Oryzias latipes: one gene and its partners. The protein of the gene in region 1 interacts with the protein of each later gene in a pairwise test. Links are inferred from orthologs where the notes say so. Each region holds a gene or a part of one and is shown in the gene's direction. Other genes may lie near its edges.

Evidence for each region.
Region 2: the proteins of txn2 (region 1) and scyl3 interact in binary tests that used the Homo sapiens proteins (3 or more experiments, as listed by UniProt). The two-hybrid records come from large-scale screens. The link is inferred for Oryzias latipes from reciprocal best matches to the Homo sapiens genes TXN2 and SCYL3.
Region 3: the proteins of txn2 (region 1) and rbm45 interact in binary tests that used the Homo sapiens proteins (3 or more experiments, as listed by UniProt). The two-hybrid records come from large-scale screens. The link is inferred for Oryzias latipes from reciprocal best matches to the Homo sapiens genes TXN2 and RBM45.
Region 4: the proteins of txn2 (region 1) and ppcdc interact in binary tests that used the Homo sapiens proteins (3 or more experiments, as listed by UniProt). The two-hybrid records come from large-scale screens. The link is inferred for Oryzias latipes from reciprocal best matches to the Homo sapiens genes TXN2 and PPCDC.
Region 5: the proteins of txn2 (region 1) and agtrap interact in binary tests that used the Homo sapiens proteins (3 or more experiments, as listed by UniProt). The two-hybrid records come from large-scale screens. The link is inferred for Oryzias latipes from reciprocal best matches to the Homo sapiens genes TXN2 and AGTRAP.

Annotation. Positions count from the first base shown.
Region 1 is NC_019866.2:21,791,156-21,797,243, forward strand, and holds txn2 (thioredoxin, mitochondrial), read left to right. Parts: upstream 1-2,028; 5' UTR 2,029-2,082; coding exon 2,083-2,145; intron 2,146-3,229; coding exon 3,230-3,507; intron 3,508-5,124; coding exon 5,125-5,248; intron 5,249-5,329; coding exon 5,330-5,446; 3' UTR 5,447-6,082; downstream 6,083-6,088.
Region 2 is NC_019862.2:29,582,207-29,587,715, reverse strand, and holds part of scyl3 (protein-associating with the carboxyl-terminal domain of ezrin), read left to right. Parts: intron 1-1,665; coding exon 1,666-1,722; intron 1,723-1,794; coding exon 1,795-1,897; intron 1,898-1,977; coding exon 1,978-2,089; intron 2,090-2,171; coding exon 2,172-2,249; intron 2,250-2,326; coding exon 2,327-2,466; intron 2,467-2,552; coding exon 2,553-2,743; intron 2,744-3,298; coding exon 3,299-3,470; intron 3,471-3,869; coding exon 3,870-4,010; intron 4,011-4,083; coding exon 4,084-4,796; intron 4,797-5,509. UniProt on the Homo sapiens protein: May play a role in regulating cell adhesion/migration complexes in migrating cells.
Region 3 is NC_019873.2:1,273,391-1,279,645, reverse strand, and holds the start of rbm45 (RNA-binding protein 45), read left to right. Parts: upstream 1-2,216; 5' UTR 2,217-2,289; coding exon 2,290-2,565; intron 2,566-4,024; coding exon 4,025-4,147; intron 4,148-4,259; coding exon 4,260-4,386; intron 4,387-4,553; coding exon 4,554-4,673; intron 4,674-4,743; coding exon 4,744-4,914; intron 4,915-5,036; coding exon 5,037-5,166; intron 5,167-5,813; coding exon 5,814-5,907; intron 5,908-6,031; coding exon 6,032-6,189; intron 6,190-6,255. UniProt on the Homo sapiens protein: RNA-binding protein with binding specificity for poly(C). May play an important role in neural development.
Region 4 is NC_019864.2:16,648,845-16,655,032, forward strand, and holds the start of ppcdc (phosphopantothenoylcysteine decarboxylase), read left to right. Parts: upstream 1-2,177; 5' UTR 2,178-2,249; coding exon 2,250-2,393; intron 2,394-3,497; coding exon 3,498-3,593; intron 3,594-3,796; coding exon 3,797-3,925; intron 3,926-4,030; coding exon 4,031-4,199; intron 4,200-4,445; coding exon 4,446-4,547; intron 4,548-6,188. Other genes in the region: hacd3 (very-long-chain (3R)-3-hydroxyacyl-CoA dehydratase 3), read right to left, coding at 25-98, 203-245, 1,886-1,963. UniProt on the Homo sapiens protein: Catalyzes the decarboxylation of the cysteine moiety of 4-phosphopantothenoylcysteine to form 4'-phosphopantotheine and this reaction forms part of the biosynthesis of coenzyme A.
Region 5 is NC_019863.2:32,258,892-32,263,959, reverse strand, and holds part of agtrap (type-1 angiotensin II receptor-associated protein), read left to right. Parts: intron 1-2,155; coding exon 2,156-2,354; intron 2,355-5,068. UniProt on the Homo sapiens protein: Appears to be a negative regulator of type-1 angiotensin II receptor-mediated signaling by regulating receptor internalization as well as mechanism of receptor desensitization such as phosphorylation.

The DNA of each region.
Region 1 (6,088 bases):
TTGGTCGAGTTAAACCTCTGATTCAGGAGGAACAGGGGAGTATTCAGCCCGGTTGTGGAACAGCAAATCAGCTTTGATTAATGGTTCAGGGTTCATGAGTTGTTCCTCATGGTGTTCTATGGGAGACACTGCAGGAATATACGGTCCTGGACCTTCTACTAATGGCCGTCTCTGTACAACCAGAGCAGGAGTTTGGTTCCCAGCTGGCATTGAGTCAATCTTGTTTCCGGTGCATGTTGGAGTCCAGCAAGGATGCCCTGCCTTTGTCAGGGGTCCAGTTTACAGACCCCGAGATTTCATCTCAGCGTTTTGCTGAATTAGACCCTTCAAAATCGAGACCATGGTTCTCACTCATTGACTGTATATTGAAATTATACCCGGGGTGGGCAAAGTACAGCCATGTACGGCCTGTCAAGCTATTTAATATGGCGCTGGAATAAATTATATTGATAGTTATCAATGTTTTATTTCCCATGTATTGGTAATTACAGGGAATTGGTAATTGGTGTCTACCAATGGTGTACAGGAAAAACTAATTGACCTTTGTGTGGGTGCAGAAAGATATTCACCATTCATGTGGTGTTGGAAGATTTGTTGTTTTCGATGTTCATGTGCATATTCCGAGTTGGACAATAATTTTTTTAGCCACACGACCGCTGCATTTCTAAGTTTGCATTATTTCCAGATGGACATAGACCTATTGGTGCAATTGGCAATAAAATGGAACAAAAGCCGAGGTTTTGAAATGAAAACTCCAAAATGCGTGGTTCGGACCTTGTCGCAAATTTTAGCACCCTTTGTGGGCCACGAGTCGAAAAGTTTGCCCACCCCTGCTCCATACAGTCAATATTCTCTCTAGAAAAAGGGGGGGGGGGGGGCTCTCTGGGTGGGTGGAGAGCTCCTGCCCCAATGGGAGGAGTTCAAGTATCTTGGGGTATTTTAAGTTTGGGTCACATAAATTATGTTGGGACTATGTGTCTCAGCTGGCCTGAGAGCACCTCCAGGTTCCTTCGGCAGAAATCCAAAAGTAGAAAAGAAGGTTTGCTTAGACTGACCCAGGTAAACGGAGGAGGATGGATGGATGGATGGATGGATGGATGGATGGATGGATGGATGGATGGATGGATGGATGGATGGATGGATGGATGGATGGATGGATGGACTTATTCTTGCTGAAGAAGGAAACAGACCTTTCACTATAATTTCCTGGCAGTTTACAAACCCCATCTTATGATATATCCAAACAGAAGGGTCGTTTCTGGTTAAACTAACTTAAATATTTACCTCTACTTACACTTGTAGAGATTTTTTGGGGCCTCTGTTACAGAGAATGAGAAGCATAACTTTACTGTCATCAGTTTGAGAGAATGTTTTGCTGTATTATGATTTTTTAATAACAAATGGGGCAAAATTAAATATCCAAGGAGTAATATCTTATGGGTATTTTTTAAAGCCACACACCACGTTTTGCTTCTAGCTTTGAATTTGTGCATGATTCATGTTGTTTTATGAATATTGGGTAAACAAAAATGTTCCTGTTTGGAATTCTGTAAAAGACTTTATACTTCCCTAATTTTAAACGGTGTTGTTTAGAGATTTTGAGTGAATGTTTGGACGCTGTAAAGATCAATTAATGGACTGAGCTAACGTTGTTGCACCACAGCCCTAAAATAAAATAAAAAATGTTTGAAGTTTTCACAATGACCAGGCGGGGGCGCCACTTGAAAAGCTGAAATGTTTATCTGAGAGAAAAAAAACGGAAGCACTTCATTGGTCGGGGAGGCCAAGTTCACGCGAACTACAGCACGAAAAGGTAAGAACAAGAAAATGTGCGGAGATGCTTTAAAACTGCGTGCGACACTTCCAAGACGAAGCCAAGCTCCACGTTTAGAGACCGGCTCGCGACAGATAGGAGACACAGCAGCGCGCGAGCTCAGGGGAGGAGGACGTAGAGGGCAAAGTCATACGTAACGAAGATTATGGAGGCAGAGAGCAGGAGGAAGGGGGAGCGTGAGAAAACCTTCACGATAAAAGTTGTGAAAAGAGATTAGCGACGTTGTACTGGATTTGTCCTGATTTTAAATGTTTGAGCGCGCTAAAATCGCACGAGACAGGAAAAATCCTGAAAATCGAACTGACTTGTGGGTAATTACACATGTACTTCCTAAACATTCCATTGATTGAAGTCACAAAATATTTTGGGTCTTCATACAATACTCCTAGTTAAAGGCAGGATCTCGGAAGCATTTTTGAAAATAATCTGTAAAGAAAAACGTAAATGAAAAGAGCTAATTATTTTCTACCAATAAATCAAGCATTTTTTATGATTGAAATAGTTCCTAATAAGACTGATGGCAGCCCTTGTAGTTGTACACATGTTCAGAAATTCAAATTTCAATTCTTTTTTTTTCCCCGTAAGTACAAATGAATTTCATGTAACTTTATTAAAACAGTTCAACTTTTTGTTTTTTTTTATCTCTGTTTTGTATTACTTTTTTTAAATTAAAAACATAGATGTCATACAGTAAATAATAAAAAACATTAGCTGTACATCAATTGTTCAAAGTACATACACAAAAATAAAATGATATTAAATTATAAAGCTGAACAAAACGACGTGTTTTAATTGCTTTTTTGTTTGTACTGGGAGAATGGAACGTGAGTAACACCTTAGTTGGGCCAATAATTTAAAAAAAATCCACAGCTCTTCAAGGATTAGCTTTACCATGTCGGCCTAATTTTGAAGCTAAGATGTTAAAACCACAAAGAAATCTGATTTACGACCTGGACAATTCAAAGTTCTATTAATGCAGTTTTCATTTGATTAGAAAAGAACTTCACATTAAAAGCGTATCTCTCTGTTATGATGATGAAACAAAAGGAAAGCATAAAGTGTCATTATATATTCTTTTATATAGGTTTATATATGTATTCAAATGTTTTTAATCGTCTAAAAGTTCTTTTCCTTTCTGCTCCTTTTATTTATTTATTTTTTTGTGAACATCCATACACACAGCACATTTACCACTGTTTGCATCAGCTTTTAGTCCTCCAGTCGAACATCTGCTACAGGGAATAAACAGTTCAAAGTCATACTTGTGCTTGCACAGTTCCAAAACATGCCTGCTCTGCATGGGAGCCCCGGTCTGTTCCTCCGTTTGCCTGAAATAACCTGAACTTGACAGTGAATTGTCTTTATTATTGTCCGTGTTTTTTGTGTGTCGCACAGATGGCTCACAGGCTCCTGGTACGTAGGGTCTGGACGTTGTCTGTCCAAGATATCCGCCGCCTCCCGTCGTCCGCCGCCGCCATTTCCACATCCTCCTTCTCAACCTCTCTGCAATCCCCGCCAAGCCGGGTGTCCCTCCTCTCCCCGTCACGCACTCTTCCCCGCACCCTCCATCAGATCTCTCGCAGGGACGTCTCCTTCAATGTCCAGGACACCGAGGATTTCACAGAAAGGGTCGTCAACAGCCAATTGCCCGTGTTGGTGGACTTCCACGCTCAGTGAGTACTTAAGGATAGCTGCTGCTGACCTCCTAAATTACTCGCCCCCCGGTCGGGCATCACAAAAAAAGAAAATAAATGGAGACTTGTCTTCATATCTGTTGCTTTGTTTAAGATGTTGGCTTCATCAGGATCCAACCCACAGGCTCTTCACTAAGCTGACATGTTGATGTGTCACAATGGGCCGCTCTAAATTTACTATCGGGCAAAGCTCCCACAGCAATTATACAACACACACATTTCAGCTTTAAAAGCCTCCCTCCCCAGGGCTAAAGCGGGGTATTTTTGCCGCCCTACTTTTGCGTTTTCCTCTCATACGTCATGTGACGGTTCAGTCCACTTGAATGCGGTCAGAGGAACTTGAGCTGATTTTTCTTTGAAATACGGCTAAAATACTAAAACAAGCTGTGATCAAAGATGGAATATTGGCAGACTTGTAGATTATCTGTTTCAGGATCAAATCACATTTAAATTAAGGAGCTTTGAATCCAAAAAATGATTTTAGACTATTATCACTTTCATACGTATGAATGTGAGAACCCGCTCGTTTTTGTGGGAGGGGCTTGTGCTCAGAGTTCAGGTTTTTAGACGAATACTCAGAAATGTGTGACTGAAGCAAAATATCGCTTTGGGGTTGTTGTTTTTGTGAGGAATGACCATTATAATGCATAATATAGGCCCTTTAACAGAGTTGTAACCAACTAACGTGTCTGTTGCTGTAAAAACCACAGTTTGAGCTTATTTATTTTTTTTCCTGTTGATTAAGCAAACATCTACCAAAACGTCCAAAGTGATTGGATTTTGATTCCCAAAAGTGGAACTTTCATCAAAGTCCCACTCCGATCATCTTTTGATGTATTTTCAAAGCCTCCCAGTGATCTTTTAATTATGATTATGCCATTTTATTTTGGCCAAAATGAATAAACCTGTGTCGTTTCCTAGGATATCATTTTCACAGAGCGGCAGGAGTTCATCAGAAATGTTGGCGCAGAGTAAGCCTGTCCCCTCTTTCTCTGAGAGCTCTTTGTTTACACTCTCTCCCGCTGGCTTACAGCCCCGTAAACCCCCAACGTAACATTACTGACTCAACATAGAGGTGAGCAATGTTGGAGCGATCCAGCCGTACAGTTTGGATCCAGATTCCAGCTCAGACGAGGAAAACAAAGACAAACATGGATCACATGCATCGGAATGGAGCAGTGAGACTGTGGCCCAGCCAGCATTCTCTCCATAACACGGATACAAACTTTTTCAAACATGTTTTGACTACGATTTGAATAAAAAAAGCAACAACTCAGAAATGCAAATTTAAGCTGTATTTTCTTTATGCATGTCCTCCATCATCAGAAAAATGCCACAAGAACATTTTCTTTGGAGTGAGTCTTTAAAGAAATGATGCATTTGAAGATTTTAGCTTTACCAACATGGTGTGGGTTTGATGAATCTATGTAGTATTTTCTAAATTAAAGATGGATTTCGTTTTATTTTATTTGTGAAGTCCAGCCTGAACTACAGCGGGCCTGTGAATGTGTAAAATGCCCCAGGGGGAACTCCGTCAAGCGTGTGCGGGCGCCGTGTCTGCGGGGCCGAGTGCACTGACTGCTGGTGTGGTTTCAGGTGGTGTGGCCCCTGTAAAATCCTTGGACCCAGGTTGGAAAAGGCCGTTGCCAAACAGAAAGGCCGCGTTGCCATGGCGAAAGTCGACATCGACGAGCACACAGACTTGGCCATCGAATATGGAGTGAGATTGAACTTTCTTGTCTGTCTTGTCTAAATAAGGAATTGCAGGAGGGAAAGCTGTGATGTGATGATGTGTCTGCAGGTTTCCGCTGTTCCAACCGTCATCGCCATGCGAGGAGGCGACGTCGTCGATCATTTTGTTGGGATCAAAGATGACGATGAACTGGACTCTTTTGTCAGCAAAGTCATTGGACAATAAACTGTGCAGCTGGCTTCATTATTTGTTCTTCTGGTCCCCCCCCTCCCCATCTACATTTAAGTCTGTTTAGCCACTGCCAGTGAAGGAAGTGTTGCTTCAGCCCCAGCGGGTTCACACCCATCCCTGGACCAGCTGCTTCAGTCCAGGTTGTGTCTCTCCTCTCCTTTGTCCGGTGATGGGTGTGAGCCTCCGGCTGCGTTTTACTTTAGGCTTTTGCTGCATTCAGCAGCCGTTTGTTTTCTCAAACAACGTTGACAGCTCTGTGAATCAGTAACAAATGTGAACGTGAGAAATGTGTGCTAAAGCCTGCAGACAGGAAAACAAAAGCTGCTGTGTGTACCGGGAGGAAAAACCCCCTTTATAGTTTCAGCAGAGGAGCTTGTGGGAAACGTTACTGAATGACGCTTTTGTCCACACGATGGCGTGGCGTCTGTCAAACACGGCCGGGCCACACGGGGTCACTTTTACACCATTTATGCCTAACAATGTGAGGAGGATGTGTGTGTGTGTGAGCGTGTTTTTCTGGGAAACTGAGGTCTGTTGGGAATTATGTGAGTTTGATTTCAGTTTATTACTTAAGAGATCTGTGTACCGGAATCATGACCAGATGAAGTAATAAAGACGTCAAAATGTTCACCCTTT
Region 2 (5,509 bases), on another chromosome or scaffold:
AGCAGGCAGGGATGTCCATAATTCACAAAATAGAGAGCAGCTTTAAACCTCACCAGACCAGCTGACTAAGAAACACCCCAAAGCCCTGTGACGCTTCGTTTCCAAGGTCACAGAGGGAGTCGTGGCTACATCCACGGAGCTGCAGGCCTCAGTGGATGTTCCACAGTTCTCTAGAAACACAGAAGCCGGGTTCACGTGTCCTGCAAGGCAAAAGGCCTGAAAGCATCTGCATGTTCCCCAGTCCTCTGGAGAAAAAAGGTCTCATTACGTCAGACGCCAAAGTAGCACAGCTTTTCAAAATAAGATAACCACACCAACAGTCAAAAATATAGTGGTTGAGTCTGTTTTCTGTTCTGGAAAATTTGCTTTGTTATCCAGAATCATGAACTCTGCCGTCTGCCTGAAATGCCTAAAGGAGAAAGTTCTCCATCTTGTTGACTTCAAACTTGAAGGCAGTGGTCCGCAACCCTTTTAGGCCATTTACTGCTATAATGTTTGGCATTTTTTTCTCGGACTGGCCTGCATCTGGCTGAAGTGGACGGTTAATTATTTATTTATTCTTTTTCCAGGTTCCAATTTGTCTAAACTTTTGAGGGTAAAGTGTATCTTCATCCTACATTTTCTGTAGGAACCATTAAAATATGACAGATTTCCTATGATCCATAACTGTTGAGTGGAGGCTTAAAAAAATAAATCAGACGCCAACTTCAGCCTCGTCTGACTTTTAAGGCGCACAGGGGAAAAAAAGGAAAGTTATGGTCTGTGGTAACAACTGTCGCAATGAATCCATATTTGGAGTTAAAAATCCAGGTTTTTGACTGTTAGCTGCTGCTGTCTTTTACTTTGAAGTCGAAGGCTCTTCTTTCGTTTCCTCTCCGGCTCTTTTCTGCCAAATGAAACTTTCTAAATATGTTTGTTTTTGGGGGTTTCAATTTAGCGGCCGTAGCAGCCGCTTTAAGAAAGCGGCAGATGGATTTTTGACACGTGACCCAAGTCTCTGCGGCCCGGTACGAACTGTCCCACCAACCGGCACTGGTCCGCGGCTCGGGGTCCGCTGTTTTAAGGCTCTTGAAAATGCAGTACAATGATGATGTTCAATGCCAGAAAGTGAATGGACTTTCCAGTGGCCTCATAAAACTCCCGACCTTAACTCGGTTGAGAAGATCTTTAAAAACTCCAAAACCCTCCAATATGGCGGAAACCTTTCTGCAGCAATGAGTGCCTTAAAAACTCCCACGCTGGGAAAAAAACTGAGGTTTAGAGGCAGCCATGAATCTTTCAAAACACTGAAATGATTGAAAGATTCAAAGATTTTTATTGTTATTGTGTTTCTACATCCAAACTCTGTTGGCACTCACTCAAAAAGAAGTAAACGTCAAAGAATAAAAAACAATATAAGAATTAAAAAAAAAACAGAAAATACGTTAAGAAGTTTAAAATGTCATGATAAATAACAGCTTTATTGCACATTCAGTGGTGTTATGTACTGAGGGATGTCTGAGATGAATAAGATTTAAGTCAGTGGGAGGTAGAAAGCAGGGGGGTCACGGAGACTACAGCTCTGGGGAAGAAGATGCTGCGGCGTCTCAGTCTATTTGTCCTTGGTTTTTTAAAACACGGTACCTGAAATGATCTGACATGACTTCCTTTCCTTCATCTTCCCAGTTCCTCCAGAGCTTCCAAAAAGCACGGGAAGCCAGCTGCATTCCCCCAGAAGAGCAGGTCAGTGAGTTCGTCACCAAGAACAGACGGAGAAACCTTCATTTCACCTTTTTGACCCAACGTCTCCCACAGGCAGAGGGCTTTAAAACGCTCCCGGACAAACACGGCCACGCTCGGGACTGCTACTCCTTTGGAGTGATGATGGAGGCCCTCGTTCCTCTCCTGAACGGTTACGGTATCTTCCGCCGTTCCATTTCCTCAGTGTTGTGACCCACATTTGAGGCTGTTTAATCCTTCACTTGGATTGTATTTTAGTTTCCCAGGAGCTCTCTGAGGGCCTAACCAGAACTCTGCAGGCAGGTCCACTAAACTCTGACCCCGTGGCTCGACCGCCTCTCAGCTCCTTGCTGACTCATGACTTTTTCCGGTCAGCAGATTGTGGTTTTTCCTTAAATCCTTTTTTATATACCAACCCCGTTCTCCTAAATGACTTCTTTTCTTCTGAACAGGAATGACTTTCTGGAAGTGATGAACTTCCTAAAAAGTCTGACCGTAAAGACAGAAGAGGAGAAAAATGAGTTCTTCAAGTAAACGACTTGCTTGGTTGCGTTGTTGTTTACTGCATTTATGCATCGTCGACTCCAACACTGTCTGTTGTGTCCAGGTTTCTCCTGGACCGGGTCCAGAGTCTTCCTGAAGAACTCATAGCCACACGCCTTGCTCCCAAACTCCTCAACTCCCTGGTGTTTGCAGAACCCATGGCTGTCAAGAGCTTCCTGCCTCATTTGCTCAGGCCGAAGATGGGTGAGGCGGTGTTTTCTCATAAAGCTTCTCATCTCTCAGCGGAAGGAAGAAAGAAAGCCGAACTTTTGATTTCTTTCTGAGGGCAGATCCCTCCAGAGGAGGCAGCCATGAAGACTGCTTGCTGTCTGCGTCTCTCTACCGGAAACACGTTCTTCCTCAGCTCCTCAAACTCTACAAAGTCAAAGAGGAGCACGTCCGCTTTGTGCTGCTGGCCCACATCCACATCTACGCCGAGTTCTTCTCCCAGGACGAGCTCAGAAACCAGATCTTACCTCAGGTGAAGTTTCAGTGTCCAGCTGTGAGGAAATAAGAATCTGGATTCTCCGTTCGGCCGATTTTTAAATACGGCAATAAAAGACGCACGGCGTATTTTCTAAAAACAATCTTTTTCCTACAGCATTTTTTCATCTGATGCGGATTTACAACAATAAAGAAATACTCAAATGTAATTTTAAGCTTAATTTTCACTATCTGTGACCTCCTTTATCAGAAAGATGCTACGAGAACATTTAAAAACATTTTCATCAGAATGAGTCTTTAAAAAACTGAATGTATTTATAGGATGAAAAAGTTCATTTAGCAATTAAAAACAAGGAATTTACAATAAAGTATTAAAATAGTCAATACAAGTATATTAATAACGAATATCCTTAAATATAAACTTGGAAATATACTAAAAACAGCTTTTTTATTTTTGCACAAGGCACTAAAATGTAGAAATCAAAACCTTTGGTCTACATGCTTATCTTTTCAGTAACCTGGGACGCCACAGCGTCTCACTTTTTTTTTTCATTTTTGTACGGTTCTCTAACATGTTCCTTTGCGGCTGCAGGTTCTGTTAGGAATGAGGGACACCAACGATTCGCTGGTCGCCATGACGCTGCAGAGTCTGGCTGTGTTGGTGCCTTTGCTGGGGGCTCAAGTGGTTGTTGGTGGAGAGAGAACCAAGGTCTTCAAACGCACCACGCCCGGATTTAACAAGTCAACAGACGTCACCCCTGAAAGTAAGAACGCCCACAAATGCTGGAGAGAAACAGTCGTACTCTAGAAAGGCAATGCGGTTGCTTAGGTGCTTTTTTTTTTAACACATTCCTTCATCGTTTGAGATCTTTTGTTGTCCACGTGGTCCAGAAGACTTTCAAGATGTTGTAGATGAAATGCAGGTTTGTTCAAATGAAATGTAAATTTAAAATAGCTGCAGAACCAACAGGAATGATGCTTAAAGGTTGGATTGATGGATGAAGTGATGATTTAAGAGAGGAGGGAAGATCTCGTCTTAGTTCAGCATCTGAACTTACAGAAAAACCTACAGTTAATATTTAAAGTCGTATAACTTCGTTAATCTGCAGGAGCATTCTGGGTAATCTCAATTTGGCTGACTATGACCTTGTTTCATCTCGTAGCTTCCCCTGTTCACATCGTTGGAGACGCTCACCCCCAGATGGCGCAGCCCTCCAAAGCATTACATTTGTTCCCGAGGCCGTCGGAAGCTTCAGACTCGGGTGGGAACCTGGAGATGCAGGGTGGGACTGCTCCACCTCCAGGTAAGGCCTGCGGCATGAACGGCGTTGAAGAAGCAGCATCGTAGCTTTGACCCGATCCTGTTCTGTGTTCCAGACGGCAGCAGACACGTGTCTCTAGCTCTGAACGGCTTTCATCACGAGAACTTTAGGTCGTTGTCCTGCAGGCCAGAGCAGGTGGAGAGACAGCAGCCCTCCGTGGAAGACTGGCCTGACTGGAGCGACCAGGAGGAGGGTCAAAGTAAGGACGGCCAGTCAGTCCAGATCCACATTGACGCGTCCCAAAAGGCTGATTCTGGAAGCAGAGTCGTCGCTTACGAAGATAAAGGGGAGCAGCCATGGGGGACGGTGAATTCATCGGATGCGTTTCTGGGTTCAAGAGAGAGCAGATCTGCAAAGCAGGAGCCCCAAAGACCCCGAGCGAACTCCTCCAAACCTCTCAAGCTTAGTTCGGCACAGTCCACCCAGAGCAGGAGAACGTCCTCCTGTGATGACGCCTGGACTCAAGAGGACTGTCAACAACCACAGAACTCAGGGTTCAAACCCGCAGCCACCAAAATCAAAGGCGGCGTGGGTCTTGGAGAGGAGTTTACCATCAAGGTGAAGAAAACTGTGAAGCAAGACCCGGAGATGGATTTGTTTGCAGACATGGTGCCAGACATCAAGCTGACGTCTCCAGCTCTACTGCCGTTTGAGGAGAACCTTAAGGGCCCGGGGCCTCCTGCAGAACCCGCTAAACCTCTGCAGGTGGATTCATCCATCAGTGCTGTGATGCTCACGGCTAAGTTTGCAGCAGCTGACCTCCCCGAGGTCAGTCTCCATGTTTTGGTCCTTTTGATTTGACGATCTGTTTCCCGGTGATGGTTGAGTGTTCATCACCAGAAACTGACCAAACATACGTCACAATTCACTCTGTTGCATGTTTAATCTTGCATGTCGTCCTCTAAACATACCAGTCTGGTGTACGTGTCAACTCCAAGATAACAAAAACTCATTCTGTCAAACAATGCACATCCATTGCGTCTTTAAGTACTTAGTGCACTATAAAGGATGTTCGCCACCTGTCTGAATTTCCTCCCTAACTACAGCACTGAATAAAAAGCACCTTTTAAGTCCCTGTATTTTAAAAGCAATTTTAGACACCATGCTCGCTAATTACTTTTTTTTTAACTGCAAGTATGATGTCACCGATTTCTTGAAGTTGAAATTGAATTGATGCGAGCGTTTTACGGCTATTTATGAATCCACTGGGTTCTGAAGTTGAAAATGTTGATGGTTTATTTAAAAAACACATTTCTTTGAAAAAATAGTTCAAATGCAATGCATTGTGGTCCATATTCACCAATCTAGTGACCATCGATGCACACTGGTTTTTCGCAGGGACTACTGGGAAATTTCCAGAGCACTCGATTTTGGAACTGGAATTCAGACAGCAGTGCAAAATGGCGAACACCCTATATCAGGGGTCGGGAACCTTTTTGGCCAAGAGAGCCATAAACGCCACATATTTTTAAATGTAATTT
Region 3 (6,255 bases), on another chromosome or scaffold:
ATTTACCGGGACACTATGTCCCGGTGAGGTTGACGGCGCGTGCTTTAAAAGAATCCCGCTAAGTGATTCCAGAGAAGTCCCGTCATAATATTTGATAGAGATTCGCTGGAGCCGGGCTGTTTAGACCAAAGCGGGCCGATTCGGGCGGGACGGGATTCCGGACGGGATCTCCAACCTGAGCATCATGATGGACGCCTGAAAACGGGCGCCGTTCTTCAGCCGCGTTTCTCAAATATTACAGAGACGCTCGCCGGGCAGCAACGGCAGCTAACGGTCACGGCGCCGCCGATAGTAGCTGGAGGTCGCCGGAGCGCCGCTCCTCTGCTCTGCGGCCGCCGGACGGACACGGAGCGCCGCTCCTCTCTCTGTGGGGAAACGGGACACGTTTACCTGCAGCTTCCGAGCCCTGAAGAAAACCGAGCGTCCCTCTGAGCCGACGGCGCTTCTGACGGTCCTACGAAGGTCACTCTACTTACCGGCAACTGCCTTTGACATCATCACGCACAACGTAGCAGTCCACCGGGCTGCTTCAGGGACGCCTCGGAAACTTCAGGCAGAGCGACTCGCGTTGAGAGGGAGAGGGAGTCCTCTTGTTCCAGCTGGAGATTCAAATACAAACTATAATGTTTCTGTCGCTAAATAATAAATATTAACTTACGAAAAAACAAAAATCATTTGGAGTTTTACTGCAGCGATGAGCACACATTCACTTTTTATTATAGTTCATGTTATATCCGTAAAGGTAAATGTTATCTCCGAATTATAACACATTTGAACGCAGCTAAAACATAAACGTGTATTTTTTATTTCAGTGTAGCCTATAAAATAATCCTCTTTTCCTTGGTTTTACTTTTTTCCAGTTAAAAAGTGCCGGGTTGTTATAAAATGTCAATTCTATTGAAGTTATCGGAAAATCGGCATGAATTGTTGCGTAGTGGACTTTAGGAGGGAGCATGTTTTATTAGTCAGAACAGAAACAAAACAAGCTCAGAAAAATGCACATTTTTACAGAAGGGACTTCATTCAAGAGCTCTCGGTAACAAGTGAACGCAACATGGAAAAAGTCCACAGTTATGATGAACTTCTTTATCATATTTCATAAATGTTGGATGGAACGTGAAAGGATTTGTGTTTGTAGGGACTGCAGTGACATCAGCCGCTGCAGCATGGCAGACAGGTGAGGATAATCTGGAGCAGGACGTCCAGCTCTGTCCTGATGTGACTCAGTACAGGGTGGGGGACAGATGCCCCTGCCTGAACCTTCATGGACCACAGGTCCCCCACAGGAGGACGGCCGGTCAGAGTCAGCAGAGCCCACAAACTAACCCTCTTTCCCTCCTGCTGCTGTCCGGGTCGGAACATCCCTGACAGAAATGCCCTGCAACCAAAAAGGCAGCTGCAGTCCTGAACCAGAGCCGTGATGTGTACACAAAGACACGTTTGTGTAACTAGGAAGATTTTACTTTAGTCAGGTTGCTGTCATAAGCAATATTTCAGGGAGGAAGAATTTGTTCTTAAACTACTGAATTCAAGAAAGAAATACATCGATTATATGTAATGATAACTTCTGGTAACTTCTTTTTTGTTGGAGTTTATGATGGTTTACCCGACTTTCCATCCTCCACACAGTGGTAAACACGTTCACAGCTTTATACCTCCACCAATGTTTGGAGAATCATCATCAAAAATGTGCATTTTCATGTTAAACAGGTCAGTGATGGGAGCAGAAGTGAGGCTCTGCAATTATGGAATCTACTTTTAATCATATTTGAGAAGGTTCTAAGCACAACAGCAATATTATTTCATTGTTTCTTGTACGTATTTTGATTAGATTTTCAGGGTTCTTAATACTCCAAGGCAGCTACCATTTCATTGTATTATTATGTAAAATGTTACCCTGCGACAGCCTGGCGACCTCTCCAGGGTGTCCCCTGCCTTCGCCCACAAGTGGCCGGGATAGGCTCCAGCAGCCCCGTGACCCAGAAAGGGAAAAACGGTTAAGAAAATGAATGAATATTATGTAAAATGGCAATAAAGGATTCTGATCAACCATAAGTTCTGTACAAACAGAAAACTTCAGCCTTGGTTTGGAAGATGAATAAACTCCTGCGAGAAATCTACTCTAGTCTCGTAATCGTGAGAATTCCCATTTAAGGTAAGGCTTTGGAACAGCGCGAGTGCAAGCAGCTCTTTATGAAACAGTATCACAGCTCTTTTGTAAGAGTTCAACCCGGAAGTTAACATTTACGAGGAGCACTTAAACGCAGCAGCCCTCTTGAATGCGACAAGATGGAGGACTATCCTTCCAAACAAGTCCCTGAAAACCTCGACGATCCGCCCAACAGCCGTTTGTTCTTGGTCACGAGCCGCAGCATCAGCGAAGATGAGCTCCGCGAACGTTTCTCCAGATTCGGAGACATCCAGGGGGTCTGGGTGGTCAAAGACCGGCAGACCAAGGAGTCCAAAGGCATCTCCTACATCAAGTTCGCCAAATCTTCGCAGGCCTGCGCGGCCATGGAGGAGATGCACGGACAGATGCTGTCGGACAAAAGCAAACCCATCAAGGTCAGGCCGACCCAGGCGCCGTTTACAGCCGCGCGAGCGCCAGCTAACATGCTAGCTGCTAACGAAGTGTTGGCGCGTGCGTACACAGCACAACCAGGTGGAGCAGGGACGCGCACGTGGTTATAGGAAGGATAGGAGTGTTTTAAATCAACAAATTGCAACCATAGACATATGTTATGAACTGGACAATGATAAAACATGTCATAAATGGTTACGGTAGAACAGGGGTGGACATAAGTTCACTTCCTTCCCTCCCTTCAAGCAATCTTTGATTGAATGTATAATTATCCTAAGTTTGATTCGTCTTTGTACGAATGTAAAACTGATGATGGGGTTCTTTCTTGTATTATTCCTGCTTTAATTGCTTAAAATAGACAATTTCAAATCAAAAAATATATTACTGGACGAAGCATCTCTGACGTCACCCATTGACGTCTACTGCCCCCTACTTAAAAAAAAAAAACTTTATTGAACAAAATGCAAATATACAACACGAGAGAACCGATGCGATGCACACTTCATAGACAATATCACACAGCCAGGCAGGTTGATTACATTTAAACATTTACATCTTTAATGAATTGGGGGAAGAATGGTGTTTTATTATATTTACAATTATGTAGGTGGAATTTCGCCAGAAGAATTAATAAAATAATTAAAAAAAACTTTATGCTTTTTAACACATTTTCCCATCTCAGAGAGAAACATTTTAAGACACGAATGAAGATAAATCTCCTAAACTCCTTCCTAGATTTGTGTGGACGAACTATTAAAGTGTTGCAGTTTCTGAACGATATCCACAGAAACTACAATTACTATTAGTGTCTTTGTTAGATGTTATCAAGTAGTGTAGGGTCAATTTAATGGAGAATTTTAAAACTTAATTCTTTTAGCTTATTTATTAAGAGGAGGGATCATCCACACCACTTTGCATTTGATATCTGGAACTAATGGATTCCAATAAGTTAAAATATGAGGGAAGGCATTGGTCTTTTGGAACAATCTGCATATTTTTACGTTAGTTCCACATCCAGAAGAGAAGTAACTTGTTCGCACAGACATTGTCATTTGATCAGGTATGAGATGATCCGTGTTCTTGACCAGCGTTCATGTTCCTGAGCATTCACAGCTCCTGTAGAATGACGGTAGACTCTGTCGGTGGAAGGGTTAGAGTGCAGAAGCACACGGTGGATGTGGCGTCCTCGGCCGACGCCTCGCTTCAGGTCACATCCAGGAGTGGAGCTGAGTCTCATTCCAACAGAGCTGCTACCATTTTAACATCATCACAGAAACATTCTCCAAAGCCAAATCATTTGAAGGAGTTGAAAATAAATTGATGTTCAGTTGAAATGTGATCAAAGGAACGCTGCACAGAGAGCTGTTGATTCGTTTCCAACCTTCTTCCTGCGGCGAGCATTCATGGGTCTGCTCGATGACACCGTTGTCTGTCTTGTGGCAGGTCTTCATCGCTCAGTCTCGATCTTCAACCAGACACAGAGACGTGGAGGATGAGGAGCTTACCAGGATCTTCGTCATGATACCCAAAACCTTCACAGAGGAAGACCTGAAAAACACTTTTAAAGTAAGAGCAGCAGCTGAATGCAGAGACGTGTGTGCTTCCTCGTGTTTGAACATGGCTTAGCCATGGACAGGATGAAGGTCTTGGGTCTGCATGGTTCCTGTCTGTCTTCCAGGAGTACGGAGACATTGAATACTGCGTCATCATCAAAAATAAACTCACCGGGGAAAGTAAAGGACTCGGTTACGTCAGATACTACAAACCCTCCCAGGCTGCCATCGCTATAGAGAACTGTGACAAATGTGAGCATCGCAGTCCTGAACCTCAGCAGAAAGGCTTTCCAAAGGCAGATCTGCCATCAGTAGTGACGTAGCAGAGCCCTCTGGCTCTGAAGGTGGTGTCTCTGCTTAGAAAATCCCATTTCATTATTAGTTAGCAGACGTTTGCTGTTCTGATGGCTGTTCTCCAGCGTACAGGGCCATCCTGGCCGAACCCCGCTCCAAATCCAACGCCTCTGAGGATTACTCCGGCGCAGGGAGCAGAGGGGAGTACGGCGGAGACTCGGCCAACCAGTACGGCTTTCACGCAGGTCTGTTGGTGCGTCTGCAGCAGAGGCTGGACGCAGCCTCCGGTTCTGATCTCTGCGTTCGTCTTTGCAGCAGACCCTGGGAACTTTGCGGTGCCGGAGAGCCGCGCGGGGGACTTCACGCGCGCGCTGATGGTGTCCACGCGGGCAGCGCTCACGCAGGAGCAGGTCTTCGCTCTGTTCGACCTCATTCCCGGCATGGAGTACTGCGAGCTGCAGAGAGACTCGTACGGCATGAACAAAGGTGAGACCCGATCTTTCATAGAACTTCTACCTCCGTGGTTTTGGTTCCCATTGGGTTTGCCAGAACTCTGCGTTTACACGTCAAACATGCAGACGGCGGTTCTGATCTTGGAATGTTTGCAGGCTGTGCCATGATCCGCTACAGTAACCTTGGCTCTGCCCTTTACGCCAAAGAGAAACTGAACGGCTTCGAGTATCCGCCCGGCAACAGACTGGTGGTGTACTTTCTAGATGATGGCGAGGACCGCAGCAGGTGGGCACACTTGCACAGCAGCACTGCCCAAAGGTGGGGTTGGAGGAGGAACTGTGATCGTTGGGTGAACAGGGCGACCTCTAGTGGCCGTCCTCAACACTGCAAACATGAAACCAGCCTTGAAGGTCACTTTAGACACGCCACAGACCAGCTGTAGGGCTGCTGGGTTTATTCCTGGCTACCTGTCATGTGGAAGCGTCGCTAGGCAAGTACCCTTAGTTACCTCTGGGGAGGGGGGGTCAAGTGCACGCATTAGTGTGAGGGGGCTTCAGAAGGTCACAGGACTCACACACACGCTTTGTTTTAGGAACTATGGACACAACAGTTGTTTAAGCAAATCGACAAAACTGAGTTAGTGTTCCCTGGTTTATCACAAGACGTCACACTACACACGCTCTACACGTTTATCCGACACACATGAACATTTCCACACTCTTCTCTCGTTTAAACCTTCACGTCTCTGTACAAGAGACCACAACCAACAGCCAATCAGAACACAGTGAACTGAAAAAAAGGGATGCCAAGTTAAACAAAAAAAATCTACAAAAACCAGAAAAGGTGAGGCGTGATACGGCATGTTTGCCGTGTCCCAGCCGTGTGCTGCGGACAGAACATTGAGGTTTTCTCACGTGTGTTTCCGTCTGTAGCTCGGTGGGGCGGATGGCCATGCAGTTTGTTGCTGCTCAGATGATGTCCGCTGTGTGGAACGGAGCGTCCAGCAGCCAAATGCTGAAACCTCATGTGAGAAACGGCTTTGAAGTTTGCCCCTCGTACATGGGGGGGGGGGGGGGGGGGGTATTTTGGAAGTCTGCATCTCCACCACTGGAGAACAGACCGGCATGAACGCCTGCGTTTTCCCTGGCAGAGTTTCTCGCCGTCGCCCTCCATGTCCCGTATCCAGACGGACGTCAGCCTGCCGTCCCTGAAGAAGCTGGCGCCCCCCGACAGTAAAACCAAGGAGCGCTTGTTTGTGGTGTTCAGCCCGTCCCCTCTGCCCCCTGATGTGCTGGAGGACGTCTTCTGGTAGGCAGAAGCTCAGAGGGAGGGGTCCACACTTAGAGCTGGGGGGGTGTTGATAGTCAGCTCTAA
Region 4 (6,188 bases), on another chromosome or scaffold:
GAGACATTTTAAGAGAACACATACCTCAGGCTTTACTGGAAAAAGAAACTCCAGGCTGAACTCGTACTCGTTTTGTCCTTTGGCACCATGACCTCGAGCTGAACAGTTGATAACACACAAAAAAAAAAAGGTCAAAGATTGTGTCTCTTTTTGAAGCACATTCTTCATCGGGTGCACACAACAACAAAAGACCTAATCTCACCTCTGAACTGAAGAACTTTGTCGTGCACTTGGACATCAATGTTCTGCAGAAAGACAGGCAGTTGGTAAGCATACCTCCTCTTCCAATGTGAACTTTCAAAGACCATTGGACTTTTTTTTGTGTACAATGCAGTGGATTATAAATGCATTCACTACAAGAAAAAAAAAGTCCATCCTCAAAAAATCAACTACCTTAACATACAAGAATACTCTAAATAAAAATATATGACAGCTATTAGTTGTGATTAGTTGCTTTGTTTCCCTAAAAAAGAGGCATTGTCCTCCACAACAGCTGTTTAAAAAAAGTTTAATATGTTTATGTGTTTCAAAAATTGAAAGTCCTTTATTTTATGGAATTATTACACAAATATTGAGATAATTTAAGCCATTATGTCTTTTAAGTTTGGTGATTATGGCCAATAAACAATAAAAACTTTAAATGTAGTTATAAGAAGATCACATCAGGCAGATTATAAAAGGATGTCTTCACCTTAAAGGGCAGATTCCTGAAACTGTGTTCATGTCTGACATATATAAAGAAAATAAAGCTTAAAATTGGATTTCTACACATTTCTTTATTCAAATTGTTGTGAATCAGAAGCAGACGAAAAAATGCTGTTGGAAAAAGCTTGTAGCAGTGACATAGAAGGCACAACTGTAAGCCATAAGCCCCCATCCGCCCCATTCTGAGGCATCCACTTGCAGACAAATAGATCCATGAACGTCTTTCTTTTCCTCGTCCGAGCTGGAATCAAAACGGCTGCATAGCTCAGATATTGCTTGCCATTTTTGTTGCACTGGTAATTGGTGCGAGAGGCTGTAAGCTAGTAAGCTAGTGGATAAACAGATGGATGACGGGAAAGGGGGGAGGTGTTGCTCTGCACCAACCAAATTTCTAATGAACTCCTGCCGCTCTGCAGAAACTATGTCACAGAAGAGGACACAGTTTTTGTTGTTGTTTTTAATTATTTTTGCCTAAACGCAGCATAATCATAGTTAATAGACAACTGGGAATGCTTTTACAATAGATCAAAAGATGTTAAGAGAAGTACTTTGAATGTTGATGTGTCTGCCTGTGTGTTATAAATGACTGTTTCAATTGTAGACTCCAGAAAACACATAAAATACATTGGCCATGATCTGAAAGAAGACTTTGGGCTTTGTTTCTGACATTTTCTCTGGTGAGAGGCTTGACTGAAGGAAAACAACATTTGTGGCCCATAAGTCTTCATCTGTGTGGTGATGGCTCCGGTTAGACTGACTGCTAACCAGATTCAGATTCTTGAATGAATGGATGGTGTGGCCTATTGACTGTTTTTCAAATGTGTGGCCCCAAGATAGGGGTTTGGAACCTGGTTTAACACAATTTCCTTAAGATTGAGGACTTCAGACTGATTGGCGCTCTGGGTCTGAATGCGTAAAGTCACGTGACTGACACTTCACGCTCGCGAACTCGACTCTTATCTTTAATTCGACCTATTATTTAACAGCTTTAATGGGGTTAACCTCCTCAGTGGCTGCATGAAAGATCAACACCGAGGACTAGAAACATGTAACATGATGTACGGAGAGCTTCACGCTACCTTCTAAGAATGAAGACCCTCTCCAAACGTATTCATTCATTTATTAAGAGCTCGGAGCCAACAGTGAGTGATGTCGGCGGCAGGGGTCGGGTTTCACTCACCTGAGCATCCGTGAGCTCCACTCGCAGGTAAATTTCCTCGTGACGCTGGGCCCAGTAAACGAGAGGCGTTAGCATCATTGTTGTGCTCGAGTCGTGTTTACTTCAATTAAAAGGTTCTAACTAAAAATCGCATAAAAGCGCGCTAGCTGCCAGAAACCCGGTCAGCTAATACCCAGAATATTCCGTCAGCGTGCGCGCTCTCAAAGCGTCAGTTTAAGCAACGTACTCGTGCGGGGGAGGGTCACGTGATACTGTCCTTCTCTCTGATTGGATGTTTGGGAATATTTACAATAGTATCATTGGCTGGTAAAAAAAAAGGGTGACAGCCAGTTCAGACGGGATGTTAGCTTCATCTTGAGCTAGCATGCAACAGGAGAAGCAAGTTTTATGTAAAACGGTCGAGTCGCTGAACTCTTCTGGAAGTTTCCGTGTTCTCGTTGGGGTGACGGGGAGTGTTGCATCGTTAAAACTACCAGCTTTAGTCGACCAGCTTCTTCAACTCCCTGGGGTGAGAAGAAAAGAACTTGCGTGTTGTTAGCCAAAAGTGCTTGATATTTAGCCTCTGGTGGAACACCCATGACAATACAGCAGACTTCCATTGTGTGCGTGGCTTCAGTTTTACCGCAAGATGGGGATAATAGACAGTCACTTGAAAAAACTGAACATCATCTGTATGAACAACAAAATATTAAATGTTGTTGTTTAGTTGCTAATAACATTCAGCAATCCTCGAGAATGTCAAGAATAAGTGTATTGATCCATATATCCACATGATGGAAGAAGATCTCTTTGACTAATTAAACTATCAATGTTTTTTTACCATATTAATTTATTTCATTTTTATATAGATTTAGCTATGTGGATTTAATTAATTTGACTAAATAGAAATTGGATTAAACTGGGGTGTATAGTCTGTAGTTCTGGTTAACTCGTAGACAGGTTTGTTGATGTAATTTTGAAACCAAGAAGGTCTCAATAAAAAAAGAACTATTGAGAAGTGAAACCTGAAACATCCGGTGGTAGGAGTCCGTCTGGGAGTTGTGAAGGAAAATGTTTAGCAATACACTAAATAAAAACAGTGATGGTACTGTTGTTCTAAACAGGAAGGTACAGCTGTGTGTCAATAAATGCAAATATTTCCCCCTGTTTTCCATTCACTATGTGGACTTTTGTCAACAGCCTTTTTGGGGGAAAGTCCCCCCCCCCCCCCCCCCCCCCAAAAAAAAAAGAAATAAATAGAGCCCAACCTATTGTCAATATTTTAATTTTAAAAAAAAGTATTGAAGCCTCCACAGAATATCTCGGTGTTGAGCACCAAAATAAAACCATATTCCACCAATGCATGAAAGCTAAATCTTGGAATCTTCAATGTAACGATGCACAAGAATTTACTTTATGATGCATACGTTTGCAACAAACTCCATTTAACAGCTCCTGCTGCAGAAAATGTGACTTTACAAGTCTGTCTTCATTTGCTGCAAGCTTTAGTGTGTCTAAAGCTTATCAGTTCCGTTCATTTTAACAGTTTTTTTTCTCAGAAGTTTGATTAAACGACAGACTACTTCCCTAAAAGAAATTATTGTGGTTTTCATGGTCCAGTTTTGTGCTTTAGGTGGATGTCAGAGTGGTCACCACAGAGCACGCCAAGCACTTCTACAAGCATGCAGAAGTGGCAGTAAAAATCTACAGCGACAAGGATGAATGGGAGGTAATGTTGGGATTGCCCCAAATGTTTTTTGACATTTTTTCTTGTCGTCTTTTCTTGAACACGAGTGAATTACTAAGAAATGTGGGGAACTGCCTCTAAGATGTGTAAATATTGTGAAATGCTGACGTCGCGTGTCCCCAAAGGAGCAGTGAAGAAAAAAGCGTCTTAGTGTTTGCTTGCCAAATATCCTGTTTCTCATTTAGCTCTGGAAGGAGCGCACTGACCCCGTGTTACACATTGAGCTGAGGCGCTGGGCAGACCTGCTTGTCATTGCACCACTTGATGCCAACACACTTGGAAAGATTTCTAATGGCATTTGTGACAATCTGTTGGTGAGGAAACATATGATCGGTCAACACAATTTGTCACACAGTTCACTAAGGTCCTTTGTAGATTTATGTGACTTTTATTTTTTTATTGATGATTTCTTTTTTTAGACATGTGTCGTAAGGGCCTGGGATACAAGTCGACCTCTTCTTTTCTGTCCTGCAATGAATACAGCAATGTGGCTGCATCCCATAACAGCCCAGCAGATATCCAGACTAAAAGAGTTTGGATACATGGAAGTCCCTTGCATTTCCAAGAAGCTAGTATGTGGAGATGAAGGTTGGTTTATTTTTTTACAAAGTGATTTCTTTGTTTTCTTTCCTTGCCGTATCAAATATGAGGTTATGGTGTCTTTATTTTGAACATTTTCTAAAATAACAATTATCCCTGCTCCCACAAATCAAAAGAGTTTCTCCCATATGTCACATTTTAAATCAACAAAGTTTGGTTTTATTTTACAGGCAATAAAACAGGAGGTCTTGTGCAGAAGCATTAACTACAAAAGTGTCTCTTTTCCTCCTTCAGGATTGCATAATTTCCCCCAAACTGTTGCTGTGCCAAACGATCATCTGAGCGTATTGCCTTTCAATCAGGAAGCCCCCAAAATGCCTCGGAATGTGCAGACAGGTGTGGATTTGCAGCAACTTAATACTTGCTGCTGATAAAAACCTATCCTGAAACCATAACAGACATCCATACAAGTTAAAAGAAAATGCCATTACTTGTTAAATTCACCTTTTTACTGGAGCAATCATTGCTGAAACTCCCACAGGCCTGCTCCCAGGCCCACACTTCCCTTTGCACAGGTTACATTTTTTAGCCATTACATACAGATATATAGTATTTCCTGTTTTACATATTTTTGCGATTACGCAATGACAGTGCGGTAGCCGCGCTGTCCTTCCCGCCGGTTTCTTCTCCTTTCAGACTTAAGACATCTGCAGTGCGACCCATCCGACTTCAATTATCGCACAAAGGTTCAACTGTTTCACAAATGACGTCCAGCAAGATCCCTGTAAACCCATGAGTTCAAGGCTGCAATGAAGTTTTTAACAAGTTTTTGATGAACAAAGTAAAAATGAGAAACTTTTTCTGATAAAGGCTGTACAAATACGGTAAACCTGTTGTTCCATCAATGTTTCAGTTATCCTCCTACATACAAAGAGTGACTTTCTTTGTGATAATTTGAAGCCCTTCATATAATATTCCTAATTTTGGATTACCTACATAAAACCTGTCCATCTATGCATAGTTAAAAGGCTCTAAAATGCTAAGGATCCTTTTTTTCTTGATGAAAAAACATAAAATGATTTTCTTTATGATAGTATTGAAAACTTCATTACTTTGTTTTACAGAAATATACTTTATTTTATACGATAATATGACAGTAATCATTTTCCCATTATTAAATATTTTCCAGTCAAAAACAGAAATATACTAGACACAATCCTCTTTCAAATGTTGTAGATTGAAGGCACTTAAAGTTTCAAATAATCTTAGTTTTCAGAATTTAGAAATTAGTCACAAAATATTTTATTGAGTGAGAAAACAGGTTTGAGCTGAAGCTCTTGGCGCTTGATTAAGGCGGAAGCTCATTTGTGAAATAGAGCCGCGTTTTCATTGAGATCGGTATCACATCTGAGATATTGATGGGCGTCTCAAGTTTGGCTTCATCTTTCACAGAAATCTGACAGTTATTTCAAAACAAAAATCATATCTACCGGTAGTCAGTTTTTCTATTGGTTCATGTCCAGTGAGGTTAAAGATCATTTTATAGAATAAATGCATTAAACAATAAAATCCTTTATTTGTCTATATTGTCTTTGCTGGAGAGCATTTATTCAAGTTGATCAGTTTTAAGGGGTGACATAATGCAACTTTGTCACTCTTAGAATTGGACTCAGACATGCCTCCAACTTTTTAATCTTCCTTTGCAGCAAACTGTCAACATATGGGACTAGTACCTAGAATTGGGTGGGATGTTTTTTCATATGAACAGAGGTATAAAACATGATGCATTAGCCCTAAATCACCTGTAAAGATCTACCACTAACTGCAGAAAACTCGGCGGACCTAGTTTCCCAACATTTCATCATTCTCCTCTCGTTAAATTTCCTTCATTTTGTTGAGGCTTGTTGGGCAGGAAAGAATTGTTCTGGTTTTACAAGTTTCCCTACACGACGGAAACGTCTCGAGACGTTTCACAGATTCACACAGGCTTCATCTTTTGGCCACTTGCTGTGAAATGCACGCGCCTGTTGGTAGGAC
Region 5 (5,068 bases), on another chromosome or scaffold:
GGGACGGAAAGACGCTGTGAGAGCAGCTGCACAGACGTCCATCCACAGCTTTTCTTCTTTTTTTTTTGGTTTAATACGATAAATCCTTAAAACATTGTTTTTCTGTTTCTCTGTCTTTATTCTAGTATCTTCCTCCATTTTTTGCAGTTTAACTCTTCCTACAATGTTTCATCTATTTGAACCATCCAACTATTCAAATATTCAGCTCTTTCAGCTTTTTCCAGCTGTGACTTTTGGTTCTTCACATTCTTGAACTTGTCCAGATATTCCATTGAAACACTTAGTGCAGAAGCTCGCTGGTTCAATACATTTTTTTTTGTTATTGTGCTGTTTTCACTTTATTTATGGAAAACTTTGATCCTTTTTTTATTTATTTAGCCAATTATTCCCCTTTAAGTTTCATTTTCATTCAGCAGTACAGCATCAACTGTGCTGTTTCTGCTGCTCCTTCTGGTTCTTTTTTCTGTTTCTCCCTCCAGTGTAAGATGACGCTTCATTCTGCTTTTACTTTCAATCGAGGTTCATCTTCCACAGTCTGATGATGTGCAGAGAGTAGAGAGGGTCACCATCAAAGGTGAACGTAAAACAGTGAGAACTCAGGACTTGGGAATAAAAACCCAGTTTCAGCTTTCACGCTGAGCAGGAAGCTGGGAGGTTTAACGGCAAACGCCGCTTTCTCTCCGCCTGCTCTCTTGAAATTAGATTATTTTCTGGCAAAGGGAGGAAATTCTGCTTCAGAGTGGGAAGACACCCCTCTGTTGGTGGTTCAAGTCCCGCTCTGATCATCGTCGGATCTGTTTTCAAGGCGTTCCCAGTGGTCTTTTCCTTATGATGATGCCGTTTTTGGCCAAAATCAAAAACCTGTCTCCTTTTCCAGGAGTTCATTAGAAATTGACCTCTGAGTTGAGGTCCGGCCTGTTGGCGCAGAGCAGTTCCGCCCCCGTTCCCCTCCCCGTTGATAAAAGGGAGCTTGTGGCTCCGCCCAGCGTATTTTCTACGCCACAAATTTATGTGATGGTCTTTAATTGGCATTTTTTTTGACGACTCGTTCACAAGGATTTGAATAAAGAAATACTCAGGAAAGAAATGTTGATCTTAATTTTCTCTTTTACATCAGAAAAATGCCACAAGAACACGTTAAAAAGCCCGTTGTTCTTCAGAGACGGCCTTTAAGGCTCTGAAGAACAAGTAGCCGCAGGCTGTAGCTACAGCGGCTTATCACGTGATTTAGCCAATCACAATCAAGACATCGTACACAGTTCGCAAAAAGGCTTTGGGGCTGCATATCATTGATTTTCTAACTAGCGGGTCAGTAGAAATTTGAACGCAGGCTGCATTTGGCCTGCAAGCCAGACTTTGGACATGCCTGCCTTCAAATCTGTGGTAGTGAGGCTTTGGGGGCGGGGTGTTTAACCTTTAACCCTTACAGAGCCACTAAGTCTCGCCTCACCCTTTAGAGAAGAAGGACACTCATTTGTGTTCTTGTTACCTTTTTGGGGGGGGGGGGGGGGGGGGCATAAGTAACATAAAACATGAATGTGAATGGAAGTCATGAACTACTGTTCACATGACATCCTTTCAAAATAAAAGCCACCCTGTTGATCATCTCTAAGCAGCCAAAGTAGTGGTGTGACGTCAGCAGGGATTGAAAACCGTTTAGTATTTATCGATTTATCACCTCTGCCACAAATGTCTAAAGCTGACTAATCACAATTATATCAAAGCTAATAAAGTGACCTGCATTTTATTTTTTTGAACCATAGGGAGCTTAACAAAATGAAAAAGTATAAGAAATCTGGTTTCTCATCGGCTGCGCCTTGATTGTGGTTGTGCTTATTGACCTCCAGCTGATTTTCTGTGGCTCAGAAATCTGTCTAATCTGTCGGTGAAGGAGTTAATAGTACTTTATTTCACTTTCTTTCAATTTGACTTACCTACTACTTTACAGTTAAAGATTTCATCAAAGTCCCTCCAGGATGAAAGTTCCAGAAGAAAGTAGAGTTTTCACCCGGGGGTGTGGCTCTCTGATATTGAAAACTCTATTCTGGAACTTTTTTCCTGGAGGGCCTTCGATGTAACGCTCAACGTTCTGTTCTTTCTGTTTGGATCTCACTCCTCTGCCTCTGCTCGTTTTCTGCCCCCCCCCCCCCTGCAGTTTCTGGTGGGCATCACGGTGACCATTCTGACCGACATCATCCACTTCGGAGTCTACTTTTCCCCCGGCCTCTTCGACTCCAGCGTGTTCCGCTTCAGTGCGGGGATGGCCATCCTCAACCTGCTGCTCAAACCCGTGTCCTGCTTCTTCGTGTACCAGATGTACCGCGAGCGGGGGGGCGAGTACAGCGTCAACTTTGGTGAGTCCCGTCGGCGCGGTAAACGCATCAGAGAGGGTTCTGGGAGGACGGGAGTCTTTCACCTCCAAACGGGGCAAATGTTCTTCCTGAAGGAGCAGCACAAACCTCCTCCTCCTCCTCCTCCTCCTCTCAGCAGCTCCTTCAACTCCAACAAAACTTCATTTTAGACAAAAGTTTCTGCAGAGCGGGAAGGATTCATTTGAAACGTGTCTACGAGTTTTGGGCGGAGTAAGCCTGCGCTAACTTCCCATCATCCCTTGGTTTACTCTCTCTCCCACTAACTTACAGCCTCCCCCAATCTAGCATTAGCTGAGTTTGTGTATCGCTGATTGAATTTTTTACGTCACAACTTTGGATTTTTTCATCTGCTCCTGATCCCCAGAAATACTCAGAAAAGCAAACTCAACCTTAATTGTCTTTATATTTGATCAGACAAACAAAAAAATGTTAAATACGGAGGTTTAATCTAATCGGACATGATCTGTTTTCAGGTTAGCACACAGTTTTGGAAACCATCCAAAAAACACAAGAATCAATTAGTTTTTTATTTTTATTGTGTTTATTTATTTGAATCGGGACACTGCATATTAATCAAAGATTCAGCATAAATATGCCAGAGTTTTAGCACAAGAGCTACATTTCATCCGTTGTCCTAAGGCAGAAAGGTTCAACAAATTCATCTACAACACATTACAAAAGCACAATATTAGTGATAAAGATATTTACTAAGGTTATTTACAATAAAACAAGAGTCTAAAAAAGCCAAGAAAGACGACAATAATTTGTCTGCAGGACTGGTTTGTTTTCAGCTGTTCTGATTTCTGCTGATCCAGGAAGTCTGATCATCTTAACTAATTATTTAAATTAACTTGAAGTAATCAGTCAAATCCTCCTGAACTTCTGCTGAACATTCAAGTTTCTTCTTTGTTTCTTTTTCAAGGTTTTCCTGTTTTTAGTCTGTGCCGGTCACAAAAAGTTCAAATCAACTCTGGTTTTAAAGTTCTGCTGCATTTTAGCTCCAACTTCAAAAATGAAGCCGGTTAAAAAGTGAAACTGTCCCGGGGGGGTCCGTTGAATCCCAGTTTTATCTGAGAACTTTTGAGGACCAGTTTCTGACATTCTAAAACCCTTCTAACATCACGGAAAATATTCCTTTCTTTTCTGCAATGATGTGAATCAAAAAGCCCCACATTTGAACTTTTTACAAATGACCAGAAAGGTTTTCCTTTAATACTTTTCCTCAGAAATCCTTTTTTTTATCCGTCGACTTTCTGATGCGTCTCCTCCTCATTCTCTCTATTTTTTTGTCCACGTTTTCCATACATCGTTTAACAAACACAACTTTTTATTCTACATTCACTCATTCTGTGAAAAAAATTAAATAAAAAGAGAATTTTCTGTTTTTAGTAACACAGAGAAAAATTAAAGTGAAATGAAAGGGATTCAAACGTTTAAAGCTTTCTAAAATGTGAAGCAAGAATATTTGTGCAAAGAAAAACTGGAGGAAGAGTCATCTGAATAAAAAGCCAACAAGAAGAAACCGAAACGATAGAAAACTAGATTTAAGGATTAAATTTACACCAGAGAAGAGAGGAAAATACTTGGAAATGAACATTGACTGTATCAGAGAACTGGACTGAGCGAGTGTGATGTCATCCACAGAAAATGTTTCTCTTCCGACTCCAACCAAATGAAGTCGAATCAGCCGCCATTGTTTTGTGATTGTGGTCGCCACCATGTTGGAGCCATACGTCATCAGTAAGCAGCCATTGGTCCGAGTCCTTGTTTCTATGGCAACCATTCTCACCAATCAGGAGTGAGCTTGTTGGAAGACCACACCCCTTCCACTGAAAGCAGAGTCACTCAGTCCAGTTCTCTTATAGAGTCAATGGACCGCTCTGGAATTGGAGCATGTGAGGTTTCACCTGTGCTCTCTGGTACGGACATCTTCTCAGAATATTATATATTGCTCAGTAATAAACAGACTGCAGACACTTTGTCACCTTTCTGGTAGCCATGAAGCCTGACATCCATGAAGAACGCGGGCAGGAGGCTCCGCCTTTGTTCATACAGACACGTAACGTTACGCAAACAAAACATGTAGTGATATTCATGGAAATCTAACGGTGCACGTTCATGTTTGGTGTTACAGAGTGAAGGAGAACAGTAACAACCCCCCCCCCCCAACACAAAATCCTCCGGCGGGCGTCTATGTCGCGCACTCAAGAACGCACCCAGCTTGTAATGGAAATGAATACAATGGAAATTAATGATTAGAACGCAGTAAATTTGTCGTATTTCCTCGCGAGAAGGAAATTTCTGTTGTAGAATGAGGATGTGTGTGCTGCTGAAACCTCATGTGTGTGTGTGTGTGTGTGTGTGTGTGTGTGTGTGTGAGTAGAGTGAGCGCGTGCAGCGTAGAGGGAGTGAAGGAAAACAGAAATGAAAGGTTCCCCCCAGAAACCCTTGAAGTCTGAACACAGGACTAGAAAAAGTAAATTATCAGCAAAGATGAACGTGTTTAATTATAGTTCCAATCATCATATGCAGAACTTTCAGAAAAAAAATAATAAAAACTTTCAAATTAAAAAAAGGTGCTGTGATGAGGTCATCACCGCGGTGATGAGGTTATCGTCACACCCCTACCTGAGACCTTTGTAGACGCCAACAGCAATGCAAACGCAGCAGCTTAGTTTGGTCAGAATGTGGTGAAA